4 linked regions of the Neodiprion lecontei genome follow. The protein of the gene in region 4 purifies or fractionates together with the protein of the main gene of each other region. This does not show direct contact. Links are inferred from orthologs where the notes say so. Each region holds a gene or a part of one and is shown on either strand. Other genes may lie near its edges.

What was found.
Region 1: the proteins of putative pre-mRNA-splicing factor ATP-dependent RNA helicase PRP1 (region 4) and septin-interacting protein 1 purify together in Homo sapiens (co-immunoprecipitation; 4 studies listed by BioGRID and IntAct, with this or other methods). This does not show direct contact. The link is inferred for Neodiprion lecontei from reciprocal best matches to the Homo sapiens genes DHX15 and TFIP11.
Region 2: the proteins of putative pre-mRNA-splicing factor ATP-dependent RNA helicase PRP1 (region 4) and probable U2 small nuclear ribonucleoprotein A' fractionate together in Homo sapiens (co-fractionation; 3 studies listed by BioGRID and IntAct, with this or other methods). This does not show direct contact. The link is inferred for Neodiprion lecontei from reciprocal best matches to the Homo sapiens genes DHX15 and SNRPA1.
Region 3: the proteins of putative pre-mRNA-splicing factor ATP-dependent RNA helicase PRP1 (region 4) and splicing factor 3B subunit 4 purify together in Homo sapiens (co-immunoprecipitation; 4 studies listed by BioGRID and IntAct, with this or other methods). This does not show direct contact. The link is inferred for Neodiprion lecontei from reciprocal best matches to the Homo sapiens genes DHX15 and SF3B4.

Annotation. Positions count from the first base shown.
Region 1 is NC_060265.1:1,084,070-1,092,181, reverse strand, and holds septin-interacting protein 1, read left to right. Parts: upstream 1-3,017; 5' UTR 3,018-3,270; coding exon 3,271-3,379; intron 3,380-3,464; coding exon 3,465-3,696; intron 3,697-3,927; coding exon 3,928-4,108; intron 4,109-4,190; coding exon 4,191-5,146; intron 5,147-5,227; coding exon 5,228-5,424; intron 5,425-5,551; coding exon 5,552-5,980; intron 5,981-6,066; coding exon 6,067-6,224; intron 6,225-6,321; coding exon 6,322-6,570; 3' UTR 6,571-6,644; downstream 6,645-8,112. UniProt on the Homo sapiens protein: Involved in pre-mRNA splicing, specifically in spliceosome disassembly during late-stage splicing events. Intron turnover seems to proceed through reactions in two lariat-intron associated complexes termed Intron Large (IL) and Intron Small (IS).
Region 2 is NC_060263.1:37,389,676-37,395,968, forward strand, and holds probable U2 small nuclear ribonucleoprotein A', read left to right. Parts: upstream 1-3,978; 5' UTR 3,979-4,138; coding exon 4,139-4,220; intron 4,221-4,332; coding exon 4,333-4,373; intron 4,374-4,671; coding exon 4,672-5,251; intron 5,252-5,457; coding exon 5,458-5,504; 3' UTR 5,505-5,793; downstream 5,794-6,293. UniProt on the Homo sapiens protein: Involved in pre-mRNA splicing as component of the spliceosome. Associated with sn-RNP U2, where it contributes to the binding of stem loop IV of U2 snRNA.
Region 3 is NC_060261.1:8,362,440-8,369,145, forward strand, and holds splicing factor 3B subunit 4, read left to right. Parts: upstream 1-2,684; 5' UTR 2,685-2,794; coding exon 2,795-2,828; intron 2,829-3,125; coding exon 3,126-3,209; intron 3,210-3,323; coding exon 3,324-3,598; intron 3,599-3,698; coding exon 3,699-4,550; 3' UTR 4,551-4,621; downstream 4,622-6,706. Other genes in the region: testis-expressed protein 2, read right to left, coding at 58-327, 457-1,693, 1,927-1,978; uncharacterized protein LOC107218135, read left to right, coding at 5,641-5,844, 6,580-6,706. UniProt on the Homo sapiens protein: Component of the 17S U2 SnRNP complex of the spliceosome, a large ribonucleoprotein complex that removes introns from transcribed pre-mRNAs.
Region 4 is NC_060264.1:26,637,398-26,647,224, forward strand, and holds the start of putative pre-mRNA-splicing factor ATP-dependent RNA helicase PRP1, read left to right. Parts: upstream 1-2,703; 5' UTR 2,704-2,834; coding exon 2,835-2,884; intron 2,885-3,054; exon of another isoform or gene 3,055-3,184; intron 3,185-3,340; coding exon 3,341-3,690; intron 3,691-4,273; coding exon 4,274-4,968; intron 4,969-5,069; coding exon 5,070-5,300; intron 5,301-5,374; coding exon 5,375-5,594; intron 5,595-5,886; coding exon 5,887-6,009; intron 6,010-6,307; coding exon 6,308-6,498; intron 6,499-6,702; coding exon 6,703-6,865; intron 6,866-6,965; coding exon 6,966-7,093; 3' UTR 7,094-9,827.

The sequences.
Region 1 (8,112 bases), on a different chromosome or scaffold from region 4:
AATTGATTCGTATGACTCTTTCCCGACCAATTGGACCCCAAGGAACTCAGAAAACGCAGCAAAAGGAGCGTGGGATCAACGGGTGAGAAGATACGAGGAAAAAAGCACCTGCTGAAAAATGTCGAAAATTCGGGTTTTCGTTTTTTGGCTGTAACTTTCGATGCGTTGATCGCAGCGTATTGGGACTGCGCCCAATCGATTTCTCTCGCAAAATTACGTCGGAATCGTGCCACAATTAATTTATTCCAGCACTTTTGAAAATCGCGAAAATTTTCGCAAAAAATACAAAGGGGTTAACCTTCCTTTTTTTTTGACCAAAAAATTTTTCGTCTCAGAATTGATTCGTATGACTCTTTCCCGACCAATTGGACCCCAAGGAACTCAGAAAACGCAGCAAAAGGAGCGTGGGATCAACGGGAGAGAAGATACGAGGAAAAAAGCACCTGCTGAAAAATGTCGAAAATTCAGGTTTTCGTTTTTTGGCTGTAACTTTCGATGCGTTGATCGCAGCGTATTGGGACTGCGCCCAATCGATTTCTCTCGCAAAATTACGTCGGAATCGTGCCACAATTAATTTATTCCAGCACTTTTGAAAATCGCGAAAATTTTCGCAAAAAATACAAAGGGGTTAACCTTCCTTTTTTTTTGACCAAAAAATTTTTCGTCTCAGAATTGATTCGTATGACTCTTTCCCGACCAATTGGACCCCAAGGAACTCAGAAAACGCAGCAAAAGGAGCGTGGGATCAACGGGTGAGAAGATACGAGGAAAAAAGCACCTGCTGAAAAATGTCGAAAATTCGGGTTTTCGTTTTTTGGCTGTAACTTTCGATGCGTTGATCGCAGCGTATTGGGACTGCGCCCAATCGATTTCTCTCGCAAAATTACGTCGGAATCGTGCCACAATTAATTTATTCCAGCACTTTTGAAAATCGCGAAAATTTTCGCAAAAAATACAAAGGGGTTAACCTTCCTTTTTTTTTGACCAAAAAATTTTTCGTCTCAGAATTGATTCGTATGACTCTTTCCCGACCAATTGGACCCCAAGGAACTCAGAAAACGCAGCAAAAGGAGCGTGGGATCAACGGGAGAGAAGATACGAGGAAAAAAGCACCTGCTGAAAAATGTCGAAAATTCAGGTTTTCGTTTTTTGGCTGTAACTTTCGATGCGTTGATCGCAGCGTATTGGGACTGCGCCCAATCGATTTCTCTCGCAAAATTACGTCGGAATAGTGCCACAATTAATTTATTCCAGCACTTTTGAAAATCGCGAAAATTTTCGCAAAAAATACAAAGGGGTTAACCTTCCTTTTTTTTTGACCAAAAAATTTTTCGTCTCAGAATTGATTCGTATGACTCTTTCCCGACCAATTGGACCCCAGGGAACTCAGAAAACGCAGCAAAAGGAGCGTGGGATCAACGGGAGAGAAGATACGAGGAAAAAAGCACCTGCTGAAAAATGTCGAAAATTCAGGTTTTCGTTTTTTGGCTGTAACTTTCGATGCGTTGATCGCAGCGTATTGGGACTGCGCCCAATCGATTTCTCTCGCAAAATTACGTCGGAATAGTGCCACAATTAATTCATTCCAGCACTTTTGAAAATCGCGAAAATTTTCGCCAAAAATACAAAGGGGTTAACCTTCCTTTTTTTTTGACCAAAAAATTTTTCGTCTCAGAATTGATTCGTATGACTCTTTCCCGACCAATTGGACCCCAAGGAACTCAGAAAACGCAGCAAAAGGAGCGTGGGATCAACGGGAGAGAAGATACGAGGAAAAAAGCACCTGCTGAAAAATGTCGAAAATTCAGGTTTTCGTTTTTTGGCTGTATCTTTCGATGCGTTGATCGCAGCGTATTGGGACTGCGCCCAATCGATTTCTCTCGCAAAATTACGTCGGAATCGTGCCACAATTAATTTATTCCAGCACTTTTGAAAATCGCGAAAATTTTCGCAAAAAATACAAAGGGGTTAACCTTCCTTTTTTTTTGACCAAAAAATTTTTCGTCTCAGAATTGATTCGTATGACTCTTTCCCGACCAATTGGACCCCAAGGAACTCAGAAAACGCAGCAAAAGGAGCGTGGGATCAACGGGAGAGAAGATACGAGGAAAAAAGCACCAACTGAAAAATGTCGAAAATTCAGGTTCTGGTTTTTCGGCTCTCACTTTTGATGCGTTGATCGCAGCGTATCGGGACTGCGCCCAATCGATTTCTCTCGCAAAATTACGTCGGAATAGTGCTACAATTAAACCATTCTAGCACTTTTCAAAATCGCGAAAATTTTCGCCAAAAATACAAAGGGGTTAACCTTCTTTTTTTTTTGACCGAAAAATTTTTCGTCTCAGAATTGATTCGTATGACTCTTTCCCGACCAATTGGACCCCAAGGAACCTAGAAAACGCAGCGAAAAGAGCGTGGGATCAACAGGAGAGAAATTGAGTAGAAAAATACACCTGCTGAAAAATGTCGAAAATTCGGGTTCTGGTTTTTCGGCTCTAACTTTTGATGCGTTGATCGCAGCGTATTGGGACTGCGCCCAATCGATTTTTCTCGCAAAATTACGTCGGAATAGTGCCAGAAAGAATTTATTCCAGCACTTCTCAAAATCGCGAAAATTTCCGACAAAAATGCAAATGGGTTAGCCTTACTTTTTCTTCATTTTTTGGCTGAAAATCTTTTGAACTCAGATTTGACTTGTATGACCCCGTCCCGTCAAATTATTCCCCGAATAGTTTAAAAACGTGCAAATAGATCGCCACAGCTCCGTCCGATGAGGAAATACGTCAAAAACACGTAGTAATTCCTCTTAGCTGCTAGTCCGTTTATCTCTCATCACCTGTAGTTTTAGACTGTGTACATCCGATTTGTTCTTTAAAGTTTTGTCGATATTTCAGATAGCTACGTCGTTCATAACTTATCTGGCCTTATCGGCATTACAGAATCCTTTATTAGTCGCAGTACCTACGTTACCTACTACGAAATCGCTGGAGTACATCGAGTTTACGAAACCGACCAACGTGAGTCCGCTAGAGAATAACGTAGTTTGAGCATGGTTGTTCACGATTTGGTGTTTTCGACACTGGGATGTTTTTAACATGAAATCACCTGATATTCAATATCTACACAGCACAAGGGTACTTTAAAGTCTTCTGTCATATAGAATAAGTTCGCATCGACTCCAGTTACGTGGTCTCACTCAGAAACGTTCGAGGCATTGGGTTAACCTCAAATTTTTAGATTTTTGATCCGAGATATTCTATCGATCTTATAATGTCTGAGGACGAAGTCGAAAGTTTTGAAATAACAGACTACGATCTGGACAATGAATTCAACATTAATCGTCCTCGGCGAAAACTGTCCAAAAAACAACAGATGCTTGGTAAGCAAAAATCTATTATCTTACTTTGAATTCTCCTAACTCTGTTACATTCACATATTTCTCCATCACTAAATGTAATCGTCAGGAATATGGGCTGATGACAGTGATGAAGAAGAAGTGCCAGCACGACCTTCCTTCAAATCATCAAATCGTGGCCCCAAGAATTACACCGCACCAGTTAGTTTTGTTGCCGGTGGTATTCAGCAAGCTGGACAGCCCAAGGATGACAAGAAAGAATCTGATGGAGACAAAGATGATGACGACGAAGGTGGTCGGCCAAAACGAGGAGATGCTGATTACGTTCCCAACAGTTCTAGGTATAGCTTTTAATATATTTTTTCTACCATAGTTTATGAATTATCAATCATTGTAGTGGTATTAAATATCAGTTTATTGTACAATTTTCTATTCTCAGCACAATCAAACTCATTGTGTCATCAACATAAATTAGTGTCATGAAATTCTAAGCTCTACAATCACTCTTCCACAGCTATCGCTCCCATTCTTACGCCTTTGTACAATCCATATCCTGTTCTTTTACATTCCAGTGACTCAGATGACCAAGGACCGAGCTTCGCTAGAGCAAAGCCATCATTTTCCTTGAATCTAGAAGGTGACATAGCTGGTCTGCGAAAAAAAAGAACATCAGTTAACCCAGTACTTATGAAATCAGGAGTCGGAAGTTGGGAAATGCACACAAAAGGAATTGGAGCGAAACTCTTGCTTCAGGTTAGTACACGGTTCGTTTGTTACCTATTAATGAAAGAATATTCACCTGCGATGACCAGTGTGTCGGATTTTCCTGTTATAGATGGGTTTTGAACCCGGTAAAGGTCTCGGTAAGAAGTTGCAAGGTATAATGGCTCCGGTAGAGGCTCATCTCCGTAAAGGCAGGGGAGCGATAGGTGCTTATGGTCCAGAAAAATTGGCCAAGGTGCCTGAAAAGAAAAAAGACGAGGATGTAGAGGAGGAGAAGGAGTTCAAAGCAAAATTATCGCAATGGCGAAAGGGGGAGACGGTCAGCAAGAAGAAAGTGAGATATTGCTACAGGAGCGTTGACCAAGTACTGGAGGATGGCAAGTTAAGACCGAACCGAAAAGTTCAGTTGAACAGTGAAATGAGCAAAGTCAAAGTCATCGACATGACAGGACCTGAACAACGAGTGTTAAGCGGCTATCATGCAATCGGTGGTGGACAACAGCGACCCGATGAGACTGTTACACCGGTCGATGTAAAGAAAACAGGCGTGAATTTCGCCCTCCCTGAACTCCGCCATAATCTCAATTTGCTAGTCGATTTGTGCGAGCAAGACATTATACAGAACGATCGCCGAACTCGTCATATGTCCGACAGGGTGGTAGCTCTTGAGGCGGAAAGGTCAAACTTATCTAAGATAGTAGACCAGCACGAACAGCTAATGGACACTCTGGAAAACGTTCTATCTATCGTCGATCAGCTCATGGACCAATCCAATGATCTGTCCCTAGAGGAAACTGCAGCAGCCTTCAAAGATCTTCAGGAGAAATATTACGAAGAGTATAAAATGTACGAATTAGGTGAACTTGCCACAGGCCTGGTTGGTCCCAAAGTTAAGGAATTCTTATCTACTTGGAATCCATTGACGAACCCTACGCACCCCATTCCACTATTCAAGCAGTGGAAAAATATTCTTGAAAGTGGCAGAAGCACCTTGCAAAGCGGAGCTCTGCAACCCTACGATCAACTAGTATGGAACTCTTGGATGCCGTCAATAAGAGGCGCTGTACAGTGAGTATTTTTGTCTTCAGAAAATTACATTGTCAGATATCAGCTGATTAGTGGAACTTACGTAGGTGTTGACTCTTTCAGACAGTGGGCTTGCCGGCAACCTGATCCTCTAGTCGAGCTTCTAGAGCAATGGATTCCTCTTCTGCCAGGATGGATACTGGAAAACATACTCGACTTGTTGGTTCTACCCAAATTGACGCTGGAAGTTGAGGAATGGAATCCTCTCACCGACACAGTACCAATTCATACCTGGATTCATCCCTGGTTACCATTGATAGGTAAGAGTAGTTGCTGAAATTTGTGATAAAAGAATGGTAACGGATTCGGAGTACAAGGGATGAATTATTTAAGTTCGATTTAATACATTCTCTTACTTTCCCCATCTCCGTTCATGATTTTCCGTAGGTAATCGCTTAGACACTGCAGTGTATCCGATCATTCGTCGTAAGTTGGGCTCAGCGCTAGGAGGGTGGCATCCTTCGGACAGATCAGCAAGACTGATGCTGCAGCCGTGGTCCCTGGTGTTCAAGAAGGGAGACATGGAAGCTTTCCTGGTGAAGAACATCATTCCAAAACTTCAAGTAGTTTTAGCCGAATTTGTGATCAACCCGCACCAGCAGCATCTGGACCAATGGAATTGGGTATTTGAATGGAACGAAATGCTGCCGATTCACACCATGGCAGGTCTACTGGATAAATTCTTTTTCCCCAAATGGCTTCAAGTCCTGGCTCTCTGGTTAAATCATTCTCCCAATTACGATCAAGTCACCAACTGGTATATGGGATGGAAGGGAATGCTGAGTGACAAACTGCTGGCAGAGCCGCAAATAAAGGGCGAGTATCTGTCAAGTTTTTTCTCACGTAAAGGACGTGTCGCAATAAAACCTAAACGTGCTCATGAAAATATTTCGAATTTTCAGACTACTTCAAGAAGGCGTTGGACATGATGAACAGAGCGGTAGCGGCACCTCAGGGACACCAACCCGGAGCAATGGAACAAGTGTCCTACCTCACAAATCTCGAAAGAACTCAAACCGCTCTACCTCCGTCTGCGCCAGCCGCTCAGCCCAGGATGGAGGTGAGAACAAGAGAAGAAAGATTTTATTTTATCTTTGTATCGCCGTGTAGTTAACGCAGATATCTATAATGACGAGTTTCTATGATTTCCACTTCAGAGAATTGCCGAGGCCGTGCGTACCGCGTCGCAAATTCCACAAGGCTTCAAGGATCTCATACAAAAGCGGTGCGAGGAAAGAGGCATCCTCTTTATGCCCGTGCCAAACAGATACAGGGAAGGGAAACAAGTTTATAAAGTCGGCAACGTTCAGGCTTACATCGATAGAAACGTCGTCTTTGTTTGCCACAACGGATCCACATGGGCTCCGACCCATTTGAACGCGTTACTGGACATGGCTGAGATATAGGATTGTAAATACCATTGTACATACTTGCAGTGAAGTCTTAGAATTTAGATAAATTAAATATGTTCACGATGAAACGATTGTGACGAATTTTAATTATGCGGTTCGCTATGACCCTTGCCATCCATCCATCCTGTTTAAAATATTATATCGGAGATCCGTCATATCGATATAGCTAGCCCATCAACATGTAATTTCAGGCGAATTACACATACGTTTGTCGTGCGGCATTGAGAATATGCGCAGAGAGAAATATTTGGGACTTTTATAATTAAATCTGACTCGAAGTGTTAAATTTTACAATATCAGATGACGTCTCATGAGAATGCTATTGGTAATCAGACGCAAACATCAGACGATGTTGGATTCATTACAAAATAAGGCGGGCCTGAATAATTAATACTGTAAATATACCGCAGTGTATATCTATTTTAACGGTAACCACAAAGCACAAGCAGCTCAATACGTCAGTGTACTTGGGCGGTTTGTTTATTTAATTCCGTATGCCTCATTCGATTCCAGGCGTATCACGCGATTCAACGGGTTAAAATCCGGAAAGATGACCTAGCGCATAAACGAGGGAAGCATAGGCGAATAAGGCATAAATCGGCGGAGCAGCAATAACGATAATTAATGCCTTAGAGAGGTAGGCAGGCAGGCAGGCAGCAGCAGGCAGCAGCTGTGGAGGCAGGGAAGGTTCTCCACCTCTATTTAGCTGTCTCGCGTCGAAGGCGTGTAGGCGCCCCTGGTTATCCCACCACTAAGGTGCAGCTTAAAAACTTCTCGATATGGAAAGTTGTATAGTTGATTCCCGCGGAGACGAGGTCTGGCTACGGGCAGCCAACACCGACGCGACTTCGGTCGCGTTGAATGGGCATCCTTCGCCCACGCGTCATGATCCGCGACATCCGCGACGTCCTTCCCCCCCACCTCACTACTTCGAAGCCAGCGACGAAGGGCAACGCAGTGACTTCAAGACTCCTCGGCATTTCCTCCTGCAGCAGTCACGAACGCGTCTCGCGGTGTTGGGAAATTTGCATCCCGGCAAGATGCGAGAGTGCCTGGTAACTGTCCGTCTCCGCGAGGCTTCTTCCCTCTCTCCGGCACCTATCCAGGACCTGTAAACTCCAACGGTGCAGCCTCTGAGACTCCGGGGCACATTGTCTGATGCCGATCCTTATTCTCTATGCGCAACAAGGAACTCGCGTCACCCGCTATGCGAAGTACTTATTGTATCACGTGTACCTACTCTTGTACACCCGTATATACGTGTATACCCAAGCTATCCTACAACCTTATACACGCAACGTAATTTATGTCGGCGTAAATTGCGGAACGCCGATAAACGCGTATGGCCGCAGCTATCGCTGGGACTCTCGCTATACCAACGTCCGTTTGTGCACGAATTGACGTGCAGTATAGGATCGAGATACCACCTCGCCGTGCGGATACACCTATCTTCTGATTGAAGATCATTCGCTGTTCCAAAATATCGTATTACATCACTATTGTCATTCCTCGTTGTACTTACTCCTGTAATAGGAC
Region 2 (6,293 bases), on a different chromosome or scaffold from region 4:
AACCTGATTACAGTTGCCAAAACTACGATTTCTGATTATTGCAAGGCTTAATCTGTTTGTTAATAGTTGACTAGGATCTTTTTAGTTTAACGAGGCCTTAACATCATTTTGTTCTTACAACAGCATCAAATTATCACAACGGTTGGAAGAAAATGCATCACGAGAACAGTAACATCTGTTGCATGTGATTTTATTTTTGTTAGTTAGAAAAGTGATATCCATTTTGAACCCGGAACCATATTTTTTACGGTTATGATGAGAATATGAAAATTGTCGAGGACCGTAAAGTGACAACGACTAGAAATTTCTTTCGGTAAATTCACGTCAACGCGTGAAATTAGGTTTCTGACGAGTCGGCGAATATTCTGGACATCGAGAAATTAATGAGGCGGCATGGCGGCAGTGAATTTAAACTAGCAATACTTAGGAGTATGTCCGTTTCTTTATTACACGTCTCCGCTGATTAGACAAAAAGATTATATGTGTTTTCAATTCGTTTATGGAGGCTATTATTCATTGTTGTTTACTCTCGTAGTAACGGACAGTGCAAATCGCTGGGGGAATTCTGAATATCTTAACGTATATGGGAAAACTTTATCGTCAATTAAATAGAAATATAAAAGTGAGTAAAAAATTTTTATATTCTCTCTGAGAAGAAAAAAAATTTTGTTTTGTCTCATCGAAAGGTTACCGAATACCTACTTTAATTGCGTAGTGTGATTGTAAACAAATATGTTTTTTTTTTTGTCGAAGAATGGATGCGTAGGAGAAAATCTTGCAATTTTCAAGTAAATCCAAGTACCTACGCATTGTTATACAGTTAAGTGAATATTTTTCTTTCCAATGCCACATGACTCGACTGAAAATTACCGATGTGACCCTGCAAATTGTGCCATGCGCGAAGCTCTGATATTATCATTAATGTATTGTCGATCTATTTTCGCGTTTACTGTATTCGAGTTTTTATACCAGACTTATAACATGTGGATTGTACTCAACTCAACGAACACATAAATAATGAATAATTCATTGTTCATTTATTCGGCGCTGTTTTCTTGCCCTTCAAATCGTATTTCCTGCAGACTATAAATAATCAGAAATCAATTTATGTTTCCCGGTTGTTTGATGGAGTTCGGTTTTTTTTTTCTTCCATTCGGACGGATGTGATTGAGCACCTTGAAACTCAAATGGCCTTGCATGGGTTTGGAACGAATTGTTTTCTGCAAATACAATTCAAATAGCTAGACGTTCGGGGATTTCTCTTCAATAATTTTGCGTGCGAAGAAATAATTAATATTTGCGTTATAAAATATTATTTTATGTGCGACCCGAAATCCAGTACAACTTTCAATGCAAATCATGCATTGCAAGTCTGGCGAAGAAGTTGGTAATAAACAAAAATCATAAAAGCAGGCTTACAAAAATAAAACTCAAGTTAATACGTTGAATTTTCAAAGAATCTCTTCTTACATGTAGTCCGAAAATGAAGCAATGGATAAAAACGGTAAATTAAAATCAATCGTAAATCGATGTAATAAACTCTGCGAGGCATAAATTCGTTGATTACAATCTGTGATGAGTTTGTATGGGACAAGTGAAATCATCCGGGTCGATCTGTGTCAGTGTTAGTCGATAGTGTTATTTCGACAAAATTTCCGACATAATCCATCGAAATTGGAGACAATAATGGATGATTGTTGATGATTAACGATACAACTTTTTGGTTAATTATAACTTGATTTACTTGAGTCATCGCTTCTCAATCTCCGTTACAATTTTCTATGACCCAGTTTCGAAAATAAAATAAAATTTTCCGACGCTCGAACTTACCTTGCGGCGTTGATATAGGCGAGTTTTGTAATTTTTTGACCTGCTTTATTTTCACAATAATTTTACCAACGGTTTTTGTTTGAACCTCCTGCAGATGTGCAAAAATTGAGAAAGCCAATTGCATGGACATGCAAGTTCAAGGTTGAGAAGATCTATAGCAAATTGACCTTGATAATAAAGTCGAAATTATTTGCACTCAACGCGGTTGGATCTTTCATTTAGTAAGACAGGTAGAAAGGTGATTTCTCTTTTTTTGGAACATTCATGCGTATGAAAATAATCGTTCAACATAGTATGCATCAAAATCTGGTTCCTATTCATCTACTGGCATTAAAGTTAGATATGGGTGAGAAATTCGCAAATTTAAATAAAAATCGCGACTATGTTCCCTACTCTTCGATATGTTATTCGATTAACGAAGAAGGGGCATTCATTTAGTCCATCGCATCTAAAAAGTAGGTAAATCATTTGTTCCAGTTAATTCGTCTGTTAAATTAACGAGAAGGTTAATATTCTTAGAGTGAATTTAATACAAAAACCTACATAGTTTTGTGTGTAGTTCAAACTGTTCAGAGTGTTTTTTATTTCTAATTTCAAGACAAGGAAGACTGAGAAGAAAAAACCGCTCATTGATTGCTTATATCAGATCAAGTTACTTGTTAGGAACAGGTAAAAAAAAAAAAACGGATGACGTTCGATTGACGTAGTTAATGACACCAATAACAAATATTCTGGAGACGTTGGTATCCAATACGTCAGGGAATGCTCTTTCAACTATTTACATTTACTTAAATGGTATTCTGGGTAATTGACAAGAGAAGGAATTTAAATAAGCTAAAATCATAGAACGGTAGATATTCAGGGCTGCAGACCATGAGCAAATATGTGTCCTTTTTAGCAATAATACTTCACTGAAAATTATAACCGCACTAAAACTACGTTCGGTGTTCAATTGAAATGGCAAAACTTTTGAAAACAAATTTCGCGTACGATATTTGTTAATCCAAACGTTCCAAAGGTAGAGAACTAACAAATGTTCAACGAGCTGAATGACGAGGAAAATCGTTCAAGTTTACATTTTTTGGGAAATATCTTCGGAATTTGCCGCAGCTTAGTGTATGTAATGTTTGTTGAATACAAAAATCAGTTCAATTCGTATAAATGTATATACAGTAACTAATTTTGTAATTCAAATCGTCGACATCTGTGATTTCTTCCGATATATTATGATCAACATTAGCTTACCATCAGTATTTACAAAATCCTAAATCATTCAAATTTTCAATTTTCGCTAGGTAAAAAAGATTTTTTACTTTTTTGAATATCTTTGAAATTGAAGTAGGATTATACAAAAATGTACCATAGAGCCGACAGATTAAAGGTAACGGTACGAAGTTGATGAATCGGTACAGAATTTACGAGATTAATGAGCAGAAAAAGACCTTATGAAAATCATATGAATAATTGAGATAATGAATGTGCTTACTGAGCGCAGTCTCTGCAGTTACCGACTTGATCAGATGACTCGGTTGGTAATGACAGAAGACCTTCATTACTACCGACCACGGTCTTACATACAGGTCTGGTAACTCCGGCAGTTTTGAGTGGTAGGGGGTGTCACCGTTAGAGAGGCACACGGTCTTGTTTCCTATCCATCCGCTAGGGGCGCCATTGGCCCGGGGTATGCTAGATATAGATATATACCGATAAGATAACCTGCTCATCGAAGTTTTTGCCAGTTCATAACTCAGTGTAAAGTGTGTAAGCGATGGATCATCTACACAAGATCTCAAACTGTCTCAAAAGTTGTGAGCCCTCGCTTGATGTTTATGGATTTTATTGACTTAAACATTTGAGGATTCCGTTGAAATGAAACAATTATCATGCCCGCTATGGAATGCTAGTAAGCATTTCAATCATTTTTTATTCGCATCTTTCTTCATTTTTGAGTGTTATTCAGGATTGTTGATTCTGAAAAACCAGCTGTTCGGATCTGATTTATGATTAACTCACCCCGAGGGGACAGCGCTGCAGACGGTGAAGACGAGAACCACGGTTTTGCCTCATTATCTGAGTCATTCCCCACCCTACTAGTTTCCGGACCTGTATGTAAGACCGTGCTACCGACGCAATTACTGCTGATCATAAACGCTCCGTCGACTCGGCTGTCTCTAGTCTTCTGAGTTCGTGATTGATTCACCATAGCTGCGTCAAAACCGTAGTCGGAACGGTCAAAATTAGCGTAATAAACGGAAAGGATTTGGGACACGTTTCTTTACAGTTGCTGAGAAATTTATTGTCTAGAAAAATGGTGAAGTTAACACCGGAATTGATCCAGCAATCGATGCAGTACATAAATCCTGTACGAGATCGAGAATTGGACTTGAGAGGTGAGAATGTTAACGGTTTTTCAAACGACGTTGCGCTGCTTTGGCGTAACTTAACCTGAAAAATTCAATTTTTGCACCGGTTGTTGCTGAAAATTTACTTTTTTTATTACAGGATATAAGATACCAACGATAGAAAACCTGGGGGCCACCTTGGTGAGTATCAACGTTCAAGAAATAAACAAGAACAGAAAAAGAGATTAACTTGAGGTCAGAATTGATTCCCAATATATGAGAGTTGAATTATGATGGAAGAAAGTCCGTTTTTGCATGCATGTATAAAGCAATTGTTGGGGGATGAAGAGCATTTGTTTCTGTACTTCTAACATTGGCATTATGTATTATGGTTGCCTGAAGTCGAACAGTTTGATTCAAGCCTTTGGGCTTCGAGTTCAGAGTTGGTGAAACAAAAGAGTGCTATTGATGCATTGTTAACAGCCTATATTTGTTCCAGGACCAATTTGATACAATAGATTTCTCTGACAATGACATCCGAAAGCTGGATGGATTCCCGTTGTTGAAGAGACTGAAGACCTTGTTCTTCAACAACAACAGAATAGTCAGAATAGCCGAAGGCTTAGAGCTCTGTATTCCATCGCTGGAGGTGCTTATGCTTACCGGTAACATGATACAGGAACTGGGCGACTTGGACCCACTCATTCCGCTGAAGAATCTTCGGAACTTGTGTCTCCTGCAGAACCCGGTTTCTGCCAAGCCTCAGTACAGACAGTACGTCGTCTATAGATTGCCACAGCTCCGTCTTCTCGACTTCAGGAAGATAAAGCCAAAGGAAAAGGAAGCAGCCATCCTCTATTTTAGAAGCAAGAAGGGCAAGGACATGGCCAGAGAAATAGCCAAAAAGGCCAAGACCCTTGTTGCTAACAATGGCACCCTAAGCAAACCACCCACCAATGCTGAAGAACGCACAAAGATCAGAGAGGCCATCACAAAAGCTTCGTCACTGGAAGAAGTTCAACGATTGAGCAAGTTACTACAAGCTGGTCAATTACCTGGCGAGGAATCTTCACAGAATGGTATGGAAAACTTTACTAAAATTGTTTGTACGCCTGGCCTCGGAGCTTGATTTGAACATAGTAAGACTATTCTAGCAAATTGAGTTGCGAATGAATTTTTTTCCAAATAAAACATCGAACTCGATACTTATTTCAAAATCAATTTTTTGCAGACGAATATAGCGCTTGTTTATGCTCGCGGGCTACTAATATCTCCTATTTTTCAGGCACCCCACAGCAGCCAACGCCAATGGAGGAGGAGGACGATGAGTGAACTAAATTGAGGGATAAATGTTTAATAATCTGTTTACCGCATTACGAATTAAGTTCTTTTTTTTATAAGGTTACAGCGTAATCCCGTAAGTATGCATTGCCTCCTGATCAACGTTTGTAAAATGAAATATGTAAAAAAAAAAGGTTCTGCATATTAAGCTAATAAGAAGCTGTACACTACACAAAATACAGCATTATCCATTGGAATGTATGGATAGAAAGCGATGGTAAACCGAAATAACGGTTCATTGAAAATTCTAAAAATAAATTACTCTTTGATTGCAATGAAACAAGGTTCGGAAGCGATTTTACCTGAACGAAATTTTCTCTGTAATGTTTCTCCGCTGATTCTAATGTAAATCTCTGTTTATTTCAGCGTGGTTCGAATAAAACACATTGTTTTTCACATTATAAATTGTGTCTTTTAATACTTATTACCATCCAAAGTTTCCCAACAACTTAATTTGCTTGCAGAATTTCATCAAAACTAACCATAAACTAATATTAATAGTTGATATAATCTCACGGTTTGCATTGATGAAAATTCATGCGTAAATCAGTAGCTCAAAGATCTTCTGAATCCCACATTATCACTCAAGTTTAGACGAACCGTTCGCGTCTGTAACGCAGCTTAAGCTAAACTGGAGCATACAAAATCAGCTTCGAACCGTTGTAAACAATTTTTGTTTTGATTTTCCTCACTCTAGGGTCCGTTCGAAGCGTCGAAACTCGGATTAGCGACTTAGACCGCCTGAAGGTAAATTACAAGTCATACACAAACGTAAGACCC
Region 3 (6,706 bases), on a different chromosome or scaffold from region 4:
TGACATAAGGAATCAAACGAATTGCATTATAAATTATAAAAGATTGATGAGAGTTACCAATCTTCCTTCTGTCTGTCTGTTCGTGCAAAAATGTACATCTTTGATCTCTGACCACTCTCGTCGGTGCAATCTTCAAAAACATCTTTAGCTTCTTTTGAATCCTTAGACAGATCTTCATCAGTCTCATCCTCTTCATGAATGGTGCCATCTTCATCAACGCCAATTTTTTGAAGAATCTCATCCTCAGATGTCTCATTTAAAGAAGAACTCTCAATTAAAGCATCCTTACCGAATGTTATGCAGATTGGATACTTTTTACTCCACCTCCTGTAACAACGAAACGTCATATTTCATATTCTAAGCTGTGCGGAGAAGAAGAAATAAGATAAATTAGAGGGTTCACATTAAAAAGTAAACAATACCAGGGATTGTATAGGCACAGCTGTGATAAGTTACCTTCTTCTTATCAGCCCTTCCGGAAGTAGTTTAATTGTGGCATTAGCAAGCGTGTAGACTTTCTTCCAAATGTATCTAACGTTCTGTTTTGGCTCGTCCCAAACTTCACGTTTTGGTATTCGCGTCTTAGTTTCCATCACCTTTAAGCTGCCTCCTTCTAATCTGAAGTAAACTGAAACTGTTCTAGCAACGTGGTAATTGTCAGGATCGTAGCTGTATGGCAGCTGATTTAGCCACCCTTCAAATCGATCCAAAACGACATGCTCCTCTGCTGCAGGTATTTCCAAAACAGAGACCTGCTCGTCGCCGCTTCTGACGTCTTCAATCTTCTGAGGTGTCATTAAAGTCTGAGTTACTAGAGCTAACGCTCTTTGAATCGTGATTGTAACAAATATTCCAGCAATGAGACCAACTATGTATTCAGGCAAAGGAATAACGTGATACGCGCCGAGAAGTATTATGGGAACGCTGATAAGCTGATAAATTATTTTCTTAAAAAGTTGAGTCAATGCAGGTTCGGACTTTACTCGCTGTGGAATAAGCTTCTCAATAGCATTCAAAGGTAGTCTGATCAGAGGTGTTTGTAATTTTTTATTACCATCCGAGCTTCGCTGAGCTTGTAAATTTTTGTCATCCAAATTAGATTTTGATAACAAATCGTCCTCGGCGAGCTCCGCAGCCTCTACTCCACTCTCAACACTATCCTCTTCAGAATTTTTTGTCTTCAGACCAGTCTTAATGTTATAGAATCCTGTGAATCTGGCGGAACGATTTTTACTGAATTTTACAGGGGATGAAGACTCCAGTTCCTGTTGTTCCGAAAGATTATCTTCAGTTGGGGTGATGTCAGCCAAGTCTTCGGAATCACTAACACTAGAATTATCTTTGCTTCTGCGTTTTTTCTTTTTCCTCTCGCTTTTAATCTCAGAAATTTTTTCCTCAAAAGTTTTTGTTATCTTTCCCTTGATTTCGGATAACATCTTCCATGGATCGGTGGGTGGTGTGCCTTCCGACAAATTTCCATCGACGCTTGCCGATCGCCTGCCCAGACTAGTGCCTTCTCCCAATTCATCCTCAGATCTATTCCGACTAGTTTTACATGGACTAGATTTTGTCGATGGGTGCTCAGACTCCGGAGTGTACAACTCGTCGTCATCTGTGCTTGGGTAAAGCTCCTCAAGTTCATTGTCACTGGCATGATACCGGATCACCGGCACCGAGGTCATTATTGGTTTACCTGTTTTAACAAAAACAATTAGCTACCATATTGTCGTCACGCTGTTGGCACAAATTGTAATTGCTACATTAGTTTAGAAATAAAATAAGTATGTAGAGGCTGGTTTGTGGAAAATAAAACACCGAATGCTGGTCATGCTAGGAATTAAGTACCAAAGATTTGATAAACATTGCAAGAGGCAATAGAGAGCGAAATAAAAATTAGTCTCGACAGACAAATACATTGAATCTCACCCTTCAGCATACCCAGGGTAACCTTTCCAGGGGTAGTTGGTTTGGAACTCATTTTTCCACAGCCACTAAAAAGCGGTCAGACAATAGTTGTAAAGCTAGAAACAAGCGAGCGGTTTCGTGTCAAACCCAAAAATTTCGATTTTATTTTCTTCTCTCTTTACTTATCACTTGTCAGATGCAAGTGTCGCGAGCAACTGCAAAGGATTGCGTTAAGTGTTCCAGAAACTTGCCGCAACAGCGTAATAAACGTACTTTAAAACTGGCTCCAACATATTCGCGGTAAACAAGTGTCAATAATCGAAAACTCTAATGAAAAACTATAACGACGCAGTATTTACGAAGTGCGTATTTTGTCGTACCGGTGGATTTTTATACTTCACATTCACAAGCGCAGACAGCTTGTGATTCCCCGCTACGCACAGCCGACTATTTCTTATTTTTTACTTTATTCCGTATTAGAGATATTACACTACTGGGAATATAAAGAACCTGCATTCCTACCCGTTGGGCATATTTATTCGGCAAACGTAAAACAGAGTCATGCTATTAGTTACACCTACAATCACGCAATGTTTGGTCGGAGTTCTCCGCGCGGTTAGTAGTTACCTTTATGCGAAAAATAATCAATTTACTTCGCGATATAGCGCAGATTTCACATCATATCTGTTTACTACCGCACATCGTCGCACACCATACACACACGTGTCACACGTCGGAATGACGAAGCTTGGACAAACTTAATCATTTAAATCGATTGTCGAATGACAATCATGGCCTCTCGATTTTTGGCTCACTTCATAGCTAGACAGCGACGCCGAGTTAAGCAGCCAAGTAAATCGTAACGTCAATCGTACGCGTTGCTTGAAAGATGGCGGCCGGTCCGATCGCCGAAAGAAATCAAGGTAATTCATAATGTTTACGAAAATTAATGGAGATTAACAATTGTCGTTTCGTTTCAAAGACCTATTTCTTGCATTTCACAAACATCGCGGATAAGTTTTCAATTGCGCATCTTTAACTCAACATTTTCTGTTACGAACAATGCACGATTTAGGTTATGTTAGGTTATGTTATCTCGTAGCTAGAAGTACTTTTGAAAGAACGTTGCCTGGAATCCTAATTTTTACTTCATTGTCGCGCATAATTATTTCTTAAGTCAATTGTGACTAATAAATAACCTGAATATGACGTATTTCCAGATGCTACAATCTATGTTGGTGGTCTTGACGACAAAGTTACGGAGTCTCTCATGTGGGAACTCTTCGTACAATCTGGCCCCGTCGGTAAGAAAAGTTTGCTATTGTCTTTTTCTTCCATTAAATTATAAGAAAAACCTGAATCATTTTCATTAAATTATGTCTCATGCTTGGCTGTTCAAAACTAACTTTCTGTTTCAGTTAACGTTCATATGCCAAAAGATAGAGTGACTCAAATGCACCAGGGATATGGGTTTGTCGAATTTATGGGGGAGGAGGATGCAGATTACGCGATCAAAATTATGAACATGATCAAGCTGTACGGGAAACCAATAAGAGTAAATAAAGCTAGCGCCCATCAGAAGAATTTGGACGTAGGAGCAAACATTTTTATTGGAAACTTGGATCCAGAAGTAGATGAAAAATTACTCTACGATACGTTTAGTGCATTTGGTGTTATTCTCCAAACACCTAAGGTAGGTTAAGTCGCTTTCAATTATCAGTAATTAAGCTGTTGCGTCTCATATATCGAAAAGAAACGTGAATAATTAACGCTCCGCATTACCCATATTTCAGATAATGCGAGATCCAGAAACAGGAAATTCAAAGGGGTTTGCCTTTATAAATTTCGCATCATTTGACGCATCAGACGCTAGCATTGAGGCGATGAATGGTCAGTACTTGTGCAACCGTCCAATCTCCGTGTCCTACGCCTTTAAGCGAGACGCGAAGGGCGAGCGTCACGGAAGTGCGGCAGAGCGTCTACTCGCAGCTCAAAATCCGCTAAGCCAAGCAGACAGGCCGCATCAATTGTTCGCGGACGCACCGCCTCTCAATCCAGTGACTCAGGCTCAGAACCCCAACATGCCGCCGCACCAGGTTCAGCACCATCCGCATCATCCTCATCACGGAATGATGCACCATCATCACGGAATGGTCGTTCCTCCCCCGCCGCCTCCCTCGACTCCTGGGCCACCGATGGGACACCATCACCACCCTCCCCCGCCTCCAGTCCCTCCTCCACCATCGGGAGGATTTCCTCCATCCAACATTCCACCTCCTCCATTACCACCGATGTCAGGAATGCACCAATCGCATCCCCCTCTTCCCCCAGGGATGCCACCTCCTCTGCCTCCTATGCCTGTACCAAACTCGCAGCAGCAGCAAGCTGCTCGCATGATGCCGCCTCCGCCACACTGGGGACCACAGGGCCAGTTTCCTCCTCCGCCTCCCCCAGGCAGTGCTGGTGGACCACAGTATGGACAGTTTCAACCGCCGCCTAGACCTCCTCCAGGGTGGCGCCATCCACCACCTCCGCCTGCTTCGCAAGGAGGGCCTCCCCCCCCTCCGCCGCCGCAATTCAGGCCGCCATTCCCACCGAGAGGCCCACCACCTCCACCACCTCCGCATGAAACGGGACAGTACTGATTTGGGACTTATAAATTGAATGTTTTATAACAAATGATTGACTTGATTGAATAAAATGTAAATCTGTATTATATTAATATTTTTGCTGGATCGAGAGAAAAGAAGTTATGTTACATAGTCGTGCCTCTTTAGAAATTTAAGATTTTTAAACTTTTTCCACCAATCTACGATTTCGGTCAAATGTCACAACGCTTTTGCATTATTTTTTTTTTATTTTAATTATTTGTTGCAGACAGGTAAACTAATTTCGGCAAACATGATACTGAACACGGAGAACGAAGAACTCGAAAATCCCAATTTACTTCACTCCTCCATCCCGATTATTCGTTAGAATCGTACAAATTTGAACTGTGCAACATTGCTCGTTTGCAACAAGTGATTTAAATGCGCCACAGTCAGCTCGAACTATCTTAGCACCCTGGTACGGTCAGTTGGTCAGTATCGACCGCACCTACCTGGCGTAAATTGTACGAGGGACATTCGTCGCATCGATTATTTCGCATTTGTGCCGTCTAGACTACCATCGTAGCCATGTCCTTTTCCGCGACGTAAACTTAATTCGTAACTGGTATGTTAAAAATTTGTTCAGTTTTACGAGGCACGTGGTAAACGATCGTTTCATCTGTTGCACATTGACTCTGAGCCAAATAATCATCTTTCTTGTGATCGAACTTGCAAAGCTTTGACCGTGAGGTGATTATCCCTATTTAAAGCGCGTTGCGCAAGTTCGAACACCCCAGTTAAACACGACAAACTCCCATAAAATCAGCAGCCATCAATCGCACGGTGATTACTGTCGTTAATCACGGGAACTTTCGTTATATGCAAAACAAAATGCACAGTGATTCGAACTTTTGCTAATGCACCGGGGTTCAAATTTATCCATCAAACAGGATCGCTTCGTATTTTAATAATATGTTTTTACGGTGGCAAGTGAAGTACACGGATATAAATTATCACTGTGTAAACGACTCAATCAGTGAGTATAATAATTTGTGGCTAATTTTAAAATTCTGTGTGACAAATTAAACGACCGTATCAATGTTGCTCAAACGTGTCTGAAGTAAGTGCAGGTAATTTTAATCGTACAATGGCGCGTCCGATATACGAGTGCAATTTCGGACTGCGTAGTGAGAATTACACAGCCAGTGGTCCGATATTTTGTACAATCAACAAGCAATACTGCTGCAACTCACAATGTTGCCTTGTACAGCGAAGACCGACTCGCCAGCTTTGGGAAGCCTGGTACTTTTGGCTCGGACTCGCTTTGCTCGCTCTATTTCTGCTCACATCGGTAAGATAATGTTTATTTTGTATTATTATATAGTTAATAATACAACGAAACGACCTTGATGACGGTTGTAAAATTTATTATTCATTTCACAAGCATCGGAGAGTCTGTGATATTCATATCGGAAGGATTTCAAAAAGTTTCCCGCCAGAATTACAAACCCGCTTGAATGTGGAAAAATTTTTGAGACGATGTTAAACCGATGAATGAAAGCCGCGTGACAAATTCTAGAAAAATTTATTCCATCAATGACCATAGGAATTATCAATTTCTATCAACCGAAGTTACGATGGCTGTTATTTTTCTTTGACCATAAGTTCAAATGACAGTTTAAACCTTTCAACAGGCAAATTCAATCATTCGAAACGTATTCCATCCGAAACTGTTAATTACGTTTCTCATCTCAGCTTGGTCAGCGATATCGAGGCGTTAAATCGAGCTTACATCTCAGCCGGGTTTTCTGTCGGAATAGAAAGCCAGAAACGTCAATTATATTACTTTATTACACATAGCTTGTGCATTGCACACGAACGAACCATGCTGAGATCCTGGCGGGGCGCCGGCAATTAAACGAGCGTCTTAGTCGCGCCGGAAGTTGAAAGTATCTCTTTACCTCTAGTATTTTACTACCGTACGTATGTACATACATGACACACCGTGTCTCGCTACACGGATAAACAAGCACCGGATCCCTATAAAACGTAGATCGAATTGCCAGCCGATTAATAATTGTTCCAGGTAAGCAGCTACCTGGTCAGTAGCTGCAGGCACAATCTTCACGCGGCTCCGTTCGGCTTCAGTAATCAAAGATCACTGTCAAGAGACGGACAAAACGGCGCCAACAGTCCAAATCAGATATCCGTCA
Region 4 (9,827 bases):
TTATTCGACTAAAGGTCAAGCAAGTTGTGATCGTGAATGAGCCTATCCATGCAGCTAAGAAATCGAAGATTTGTGCAACAATTGTTACCGCCACGCCACGTGACAGAGGAATCCCAGGGAAATACCCATAATCTAACACGTGCAACTCACCAACATTGCCGAGGAATGGAAAAATAACTCGGAAGTCTCTGCTTAGATCTGTAAAAAACAAAACAGAACATTTCAATTAATTTAATAAAATGGCTTTTCAGTCTGCAAATTAATTATTACTGTTGTCCAATTTCGTATTCATTGCATGTTATGCAAGAACAAAAGTTCGGCTTTGTATGTACCACCTTGAATTATCAAACAATAATGAAAATAAGTATTGTTACCTCGACTCTGGGCTGCTCCACACTTTTACATGTAGTAGTTCGTGCAACATCTGAAGTTTATTGGAGAAGCGAAGCACGTTTCACGTAATTTAGATCGTCACTCTCATAGTCCAAAAATCCGCACCGCAATAACACTCGAGGCTACATTCACTTTGTGTGCTGTAGCTGTCTGAACCGACTGAATAAACTTTTTAACTATACAACTGCGCATTTACCGAAGATCAGCAAAAAAAAAATAAAATGAAACTGACACACGACGCACAGATGCTAAAATAGACATCACTGATACCTAAAGGTACACAAAACAATGGAAACTCGAGACACGAAATTCACCTTGAACATGTTTTCATTTCAGTAACTCGGTTTCTCTTCAAGCTACACGCTACTCTTCGTGTATTGTTCACAGATGAGTATGGTGCAAGTACACTGATCGAACAACGCGGTCTGAATGTTGAAATAATCCTGCGTACACATTACGCCGCTCTCATCTCTCGGAAACGACTGATTCCGCACGACGTTCAGAAGAGAGTTAAATCAGTTCTGTGAAGGACGGAAGATAATAATTCTCCCGCCCTCTATGCTGCTCTTCCCATGGAGTGGGGGTAGCTGCACACGCCCGCCTGCGCCCACCTAGCTGTTTTTTCCCTCTCGTGGCCCCCCACTCCATGAGCAGACCGACACAGAGGGCGGAAGAATTATTATCTTCTGTCCTTTAGAGAACCGATTCGAATCCGTTGACGGGACGCTTAGCCCGTTGTTTATGCTTTATTTTATGTATCCCTATGGTCTCAACGGCCGGGTGAAAACACCACGTAAGCTACGCGCAACGCGATCAAAATATGTTTAGAGCTTTGCCGTAATATGCGACGTCAGGCGAAGTATGAATTCCCGGACCACTCATAACAGACATTTCTTGAACAAGATTTTGTCAAATTTTCAACTTCACTATGACGAAGGTATGTTACCAACGTTTTGCAGGCGATAGTGTAGGTTATGAGGCACTTCTTTCACCGGCGTGGTCAGTTGCTAATTGGTTGATAATACGGGAAACTGCTAATACTCTCAAACCGACCCGACCCGGCAAACTGTTACGCAAAATAACCACTGATATAGGTATTAATATATATCAGTGAAAATATCCCAGATTATCAGACTTTATACATTCTCAGTCGACGATACAAGTAAGGGGAAAATTCTGCGAAATACATTGCATTTAAGCCACGAAGCAGAATATGAGCAATGCTGTATGAGATAGTAATTAAGGTAGTTTGTGTACGCAATTTAAGTTCCAACCTGTGTGTAGGGGCAATGCACCTGTGCAGGATGCGAGATGTATGATATTGTATTGTTACTATTGCATGTAACTTAGAATAAAATGAATAATACCAAAATAAGTTTCATCATATTTTTCCGTATATTCTCAGCTTGTGTTGATCCTACGATGCTCCAATAAATACCTTTTTTGCATGCAGTCCTTGGGGTCCAATTAGTCCAGAAAGGGCTTTTGAACAGATTCTGATTGTAAGACGAAAATTTTCCGAGCTCTGAAAATCGCAAACAAGCAAGGCTATACCCTTTTGTATTTAGACGGTCGAAATTTGGCCTATTTTGAAAAATAGTTGCATGAATTCTTTGATGCACTATATCGACGTAATTTTGCGAGAGGAATAAATTGCGCGCAGTCAGAACACGCTATGAGCTACTTCATCTTGCTTCTTCATTTTCACCATTTTTTCACACTTGCAATTAGTAATCCTAGATTTCTTAAATCTGCGAATAGAAATGTTATTGAGGTCCGTTGACCTAATCACGTGGGTTTTGACGTGCGGCATTTTCAGGGGCAACTTTTCCTGCGACGTCGTAGTGCTATTCGCGTCAATTTGACACTCTGAAAATATAGCTTGACGCAGGCCTATGACGCCACAACTCTAGTTTAGGATGCGTTCCGAAATTAGCTGGCAGCGTTAACAAACTCCCTTTGACAGAGGCAAAGCCACCCACGAACTCAGCAGTGCAAAAGAGATAAAGGATCGTCGACAGCGCTGGGAGCTAGGAACGCACCCATAATGTAGCCTGTCGGCGTCAAGTACCTTAATTTTTTTGTTTACTTTTAAACATACTTTTCACCTATTGAATTATTAATAGCCAGTGTGTATATTGCACACACCACACACACACACGGGTATATATATATTTAATTTATATAGGTATATACCTACCAATTGGTGATACGGACAATTCGAATTAATTAGTTGGTCCACAGCCAGCTAGATCTAGGAGTATCGTCTTATCCGCGGACTTGCCGCAAAAACTGCCGAGAGATTTTTAATGATCAGTAAGGCACTGACTTCGGATGTCCGCTGGTTTTGCCATTTTGTGACGCTGCTTTGCGTGTACATACATAAATAATTTGTAAACAGTATACTCGTTTAAATTAGACATTTAAATAAAGATCACACGATGTCTAAGCGGAGGATTGAAGTGGTGGATCCATATATCAAACGAAAGAAGTAAGTAACTAGCACATCTATCACCTCGGTTAAACAACTGGAAGACTAAATCTTGCCATGTGCATTGTTAAAATTCCATCGCGATCCTTCTCATTACCAAAATCTAATTTTACATCTATTCACATATATACACATATTTTTGCCTCAACTTTTTCACCCATCATTCTGAATATTTTTAACTGTATTCCACGATATCTTTAGTTCCATTCGAACTTCTATATTAGCAAGTAATGTTTTATATACATACAGTACATACATACCTGTAAGAACTACAGCAAAGGTGCTCAACTTGGATTTGATGTAATTTATTTAAAACTATGTATGCTTATTATTCACAATAAATTCACTCATTGTTCATCTTGATGCTTTACTGGTAACTCCTAACCTTAAATTGTTTCAGTTATAAAACAACGTGACAGTGATTGTTAAAATAAATGTTGTCTTACTTCTTAACAGAGATGGAACAGTCGCCAATAACATGCCAACTTCAACGGCGGCCAAAAATCAAGTTCAGCATAACCCATATACCGGTCTTCCATATACGCCACGTTATCATGAATTTTATAAGAAGAGAATAACTCTTCCAGTATTCGAGTATAGAACAGACTTCATGAGGCTCTTAGCGCTGCATCAATGCATTGTCTTAGTTGGTGAAACTGGATCTGGTAAAACTACTCAGATACCGCAATGGTGTGTCGAATACTCAAGATCTATGGGTCCGAAAGCTGTGGCTTGTACTCAGCCGAGAAGAGTAGCTGCCATGTCAGTTGCCCAGAGGGTGTCAGAAGAAATGGATGTCGCTTTGGGTACACAGATTAAAATTAATATGATTATTATTGATGAAATCAGTCACACAACATATTTTTATGCGTCGAATTATGCCTCATTATTGCAATCGAATCACAAAATTTAATAATAATTCAAGGACTATCATACAAATATTCACGCAATTGTTTCTAATATGGCCAAGTTGATGTTAAAGATAATACCGTGCTTCTTGGTAAAAGTGAAAGGTTATTTTTTCATAGGACTAGATAAACATGCGAAAAAGTACCATCGTGTCCTTCTTGACAATTTTATTCAATATCGCAACAAGTGTTATTAAAGCATGAAATACATGCCTGTATATGGCCCCATGGACTAAGGGAAGGCTTAAACAAAGTCAACATCAATCCATAATTTTCAATACACTTAGAAGATCACTTTTAGAGCATTATCTCAGTTCTGTCCTGATCCAAAATTGTAGTACCCTTTTCCATAAGAGCCAAATTTTCCGGGCCAGACAAATAGTACCGGGGCTGCAAAATGAAAAAGTGAAATGGGCAAAATTTATAAATTGAATCATCGAGTGCTATACTTTATTCAAATAATTTCGTTACCTTTTTGCAGGTCAAGAGGTAGGCTACAGCATCCGTTTTGAGGACTGCAGCTCTGCAAATACTGTGCTTAAGTACATGACGGATGGTATGCTGCTTCGAGAAGGGATGTCTGACCCCATGCTCGAAGCGTATCAAGTAATCTTATTAGATGAGGCTCATGAAAGAACACTGGCGACAGATTTATTGATGGGAGTTTTAAAAGAAGTTGTGAAACAGCGTCCAGATCTGAAACTGGTTATAATGAGTGCGACTCTAGACGCAGGAAAATTTCAACAGTACTTTGATAATGCACCATTGATGAACGTTCCTGGTCGAACGCATCCTGTAGAGATATTTTACACACCAGAACCAGAAAGGGATTATTTGGAGGCTGCAATTAGAACAGTAATACAGATTCACATGTGCGAAGAAGTGGCTGGCGACCTTCTCTTATTTTTGACTGGACAGGAGGAGATCGAGGAAGCTTGTAAGAGAATCAAGAGAGAAATGGACAATCTAGGACCTGAAGTTGGAGAGCTGAAATGCATCCCTTTATATTCTACACTTCCACCGAATCTTCAGCAAAGAATATTCGAACCCGCTCCACCTACTAAACCCAACGGAGCTATTGGAAGAAAAGTTGTAGTGTCCACAAATATTGCAGAAACTTCATTGACCATTGATGGTGTTGTTTTTGTCATTGATCCAGGGTTTGCGAAGCAAAAGGTAGTTATTTCGTCACCCACAGAAATTACAATGTTGATATGTATTGAAAAATGACAAGCTAAATCCGAATATTCTAACGAAAATGGTATCACTTACCACAGGTCTATAATCCGAGAATTCGCGTAGAATCTTTGTTGGTATCGCCAATCAGTAAAGCATCTGCGCAACAGCGAGCTGGTAGAGCAGGTCGAACTCGTCCAGGGAAATGTTTTCGGCTTTATACAGAAAGAGCATACAAAAATGAGATGCAGGACAACACGTATCCAGAAATTCTTCGTTCAAATCTCGGCAGTGTTGTTTTGCAATTGAAAAAGCTTGGAATTGATGATCTGGTAAGTAGTGCGATTCTTTTACTGTTAATAAAATGAAATGAACAATTATTTGAATCAAAATTTGAATTTTACAGGTTCATTTTGACTTCATGGATCCTCCAGCGCCTGAAACACTTATGAGAGCACTGGAGCTGCTCAACTACTTGGCGGCGCTTGATGACGACGGAAATTTAACAGACCTAGGTGCAGTTATGGCTGAATTTCCGCTCGACCCTCAGCTGGCAAAAATGTTAATAGCTTCATGTAACCATAACTGCAGTAATGAAATACTCAGCATCACCGCGATGCTTTCAGGTACTGTATTGGGGTTTGTTGATTCCATTTTAATTTTAGATTCACATAATTTTCTAACATCTCTCTTATTTAGCTTAACGTCAGCTCCAAAGTTCAGAAAATAAGAAATTCCCCATAGTCGAGGATGTTGTTCAGACATTTTCATGTGTCTTCCTTATTTAAAGCGCTAAATCAGTTATAGTCTATAGTAAGAAAATATAAAATGTATTGAAAGCTGGCAATTTACAGTAGATTCAAGTTAGGATGGTGGTGAGGTAACATGGTTATGTATTGACAATTGACATGGTATTAGTCCCACAGTGTTTTGTGAGACCAAACGAGGCTAAGAAAGCTGCAGATGACTCAAAAATGCGGTTCGCGCATATCGATGGCGATCATCTGACTCTTCTTAATGTATATCATGCCTTTAAACAGAGTAAGTAAAAAAATTAATGTCATTTACGAGGACAAGTGTGCTACAGTACAATATTCAACAATTCTAAAATCAATTGCAGCCTTTTCTCATAGTGTAAATCTATGACGTGATTGAGTGTTTAAAGCTTTTGTTACTAATTGAATGACTTTTCAAAATTGATGATTCATTCCTCATCTCTGTGTTTGTGTAATTTCTTGGCACTCGCATAAAATATGGCTGTGATTTTTCAATTATGGTTTTTCTGAAACATAAAAAATTTGAACTATGAGTGTTAACACAGAAATTTAATAATTTTCAGATATGGAAGATCCGCAATGGTGTTATGAGCATTTTGTGAACTATCGATCACTTAAGAGTGGAGATAACGTTAGACAGCAATTAAGTAGGATCATGGACAGGTTCAGTTTAAAACGTACGTCAACCGATTTCACGTCCAAAGACTATTACATAAACATCAGAAAAGCATTGGTCAACGGATTCTTCATGCAGGTAAGAAATCGAAAACATTTGTAAGAGTATTACTCTACTTGTGTTGATGCGTCTCTTTTTAATATATGAATGAAAAATTGTTCAGACAAGAAGCTTGATTCTAGCTTCCCACTGATTTGGTCTTATGAGAGTAAATCACTTTTAAGCGGAAAATGACAAAGATTAATGAATAATAATGAATTGTGATCTTTTTTTTTATACCAGGTTGCACATTTAGAAAGGACGGGACACTATCTTACAATAAAAGACAATCAGGTTGTGCAATTACATCCGAGCAGTTGCCTTGACCATAAACCTGAGTGGGTAATCTACAACGAATTCGTGCTTACGACAAAAAATTACATCAGGACAGTAACAGACATAAAACGTGAGTACCATTGTAAAAAACTTTCTTTTTTTTTTCTTCAATGAAATAGAAAAAAACCGAAACACCGAATATTCTAACAATGTATGCATATTCATTTCAGCCGATTGGTTACTTAAAATCGCACCCCAATACTACGATTTGCAGAACTTCCCTCAATGCGAAGCTAAAAGACAGCTTGAAGGTATTCAAACGCGACTAGATTCGAAACAGTATCAAGAAGGCTTCTAACGTTGTTCGCTTTTAGCCACGTTACCAATCACTAACAACGGCTGTGACCAGCCCAGTCCTTCGAGCATGTAAACTCTTTTTTTTTATTCATTAAAAAAAAACCGAAATAGAGGTAAAGCAATTTTTCAAACGATCTTAGGCCAAGTTCATCTCCTGTTACAACATAAACGTTATTCTCATAATTGGCAATGATATTCATGCTGAAGGACTTATAAACTCGATGTTTATCCTATTGCTCAGGATAAATCGTCAGGATACTTAAATCCATCAACCGCTGGATGTTACATCCAACCCTAAGTACCAGTGGGCTTAATTTATACAATTTCAAAAAAGCGTAGCTGTTTGATAGTTTTAAAAGGAAAATACAATTACAAACAGAAGAGAAATTGTTGATAGGGTCGTTCATAATGTATGTAGCCAAAGTTGATATACCTTACCGACACACACCACTGCACTATAAATAATAACTTACTATCTATCAGTTCGGATATTTAACGAAACAAATGTTATTGTTAGTTACTTTTCTTGTCACTATCCCCTTTGAAACGCAAAATCAAGTTGTCGACTGTACCCAAAAAGTGAGTACGTGATCACATCGACCAATTTTGTGATCCATTTATTATAGGATACCTCACCACCCTTTGTGTATACTGTTTTATACCTACCCAAATTGAAGTAACGAATAAATTTTATTGAATTACTATTTAGCTCACTATTCCACTTGAAAAATTGCTACACGTTGGTGACTGTTCGTCATAACACATTTATAATAATAATGGCTGTGGTCTGTATTGAAGTTTCCGTTGTTTCGCTCTGTATTACTGACAGAAGCACAGGAAAATTTTCAGAGAACAAAAAAATTAATAAAACACAAGGAACGGAAATATTGTGTCAAGTTATTCGTTCAATGTTGATTAATGATTGTTGATGTAATAGAGATTTCATTTCTTAAAAATAAGTTAAAAACTACTTTGAAATTTGGAAAAAAAAAACTAACACCAGGAGTGCAGACTGTTTTTTCGTTGAAACGTGACTTCACGTTAGGATAGAAAAAGCTTTAGCTGACACAGTTTAGCGCGTATGTGTATAATTGATCATAATGAGTTACTTTTCAATTCAATTACTTACCTATGTACATCAACGTATATTACCGTAATACCACGAGTCTACACCCCGTTCGAATTTGTATAAGTAATTATTTTAACCGCTTGGGAACGGTGATTAGAGTTTATTGAGTATTTTCAATGCACTCGTACACCTTTCCATGGATAGGGTACATTCGCATTGTTAAGATCGATATTTTCTCTTTTACGCAATAAAAAAAAAAAAGAAACTACTAACCACCATGAGTTGAAAAAATACATTATTACGGTAATGTAACTAATGATGTTTTACGTGTTTGACGCCAGATGATGGGTCGCTTTTTTCAAATTTTGTACATATAATAGCGTTTCATTATGCTGTATCACTTCATTCCAATAAAACGAAGTATACCTGTAACATTTATGCATTTTTATCATTCTTATTTCAATTTCATGGTTTTTACTTGTGCACGTTTTAATGATGTTCAACTAAGTCGTGCTCAAAGGATGATGAGGTTTTAAAACTCGTCAGCAAATAGTAATTAACAATTTGTTTATTTAATTATTATATATATACAGCGAGTATCAAAATTTGAAGAAGAAATCAACGAACGAATACGAAATATCGGTTTGTATGTACAGCGAATACAGGGTATTGCTCGGAATTATTTATATTATTGAATTAAGGTATAAACAGATACACATATGTTGCGACTCCTACACTACTAAAATTTTTTAACGTTCAAAAATAGGAAATATATATATATTAACAAATCAGTTTGACTTTTGTCAAAAGAAAATATTTTACTTTTCAATATCGCTCCATATAACGCATCAGTCGTTAGTCACTCGTATTGTGTTTTTTCTCAATTTAGTAAAGGAAACTTGTGAGAAAAGAGAAAAACCTCGAGTCATTTCATTTTGGTAATATACAAGATTTTATTTCTCTCTGCTCTGACCAAGAAAAATGTGATCAATACTTCTGATCCATTGATAGCTGGAAGAAAACCAATGGCATACGTATTTATAAACTAGAAGTTTATCGGTTATTATACTGTATAGGTACATTTTTATACGAATTACAACGTTCAAACGATTACCAAATAACAAGTATATTCGATATCAAAACATCAAGAAACTTTGTTGAATGTTAATTCTTTCATGCCAGCTGTTATGAAGTAGTACGTGGCACAGTTTTTCTTTTCTTTGCAATAGAAAATTCAAATGTATAACAATTGATCTTTGACATTTAGTGTCAATCCTAGAGTCAAGTAACTCGAAAACGATCAATTGTTATTTAATTAACTTTCTATCCAATACTTAATACTTAGCCATTAGTCATATGATTACAACAAGAAAAAGAAATTGTGCAAAAATAATTCGTTTATCCCTACTATATCAGTTTGCACATCTTATAAGGGAACTTTTTTAATGGTTCACGATACATCGTATATTCATATCATGTATTTAAAAAGGGCTTACACATTTCTAACTTACAAAAATATATAGCTTGTAGTAAAGAGTAAATCCTAATTCAAAATCAGAACAAAAAAACCGTTCTTTTTACAAAATCTACGCGCGCTACCACAAAAAAAAAAGGGAAAAATGCACAGCTTTTATCTCGCACGCATGAACTAGATAACCACATTGAC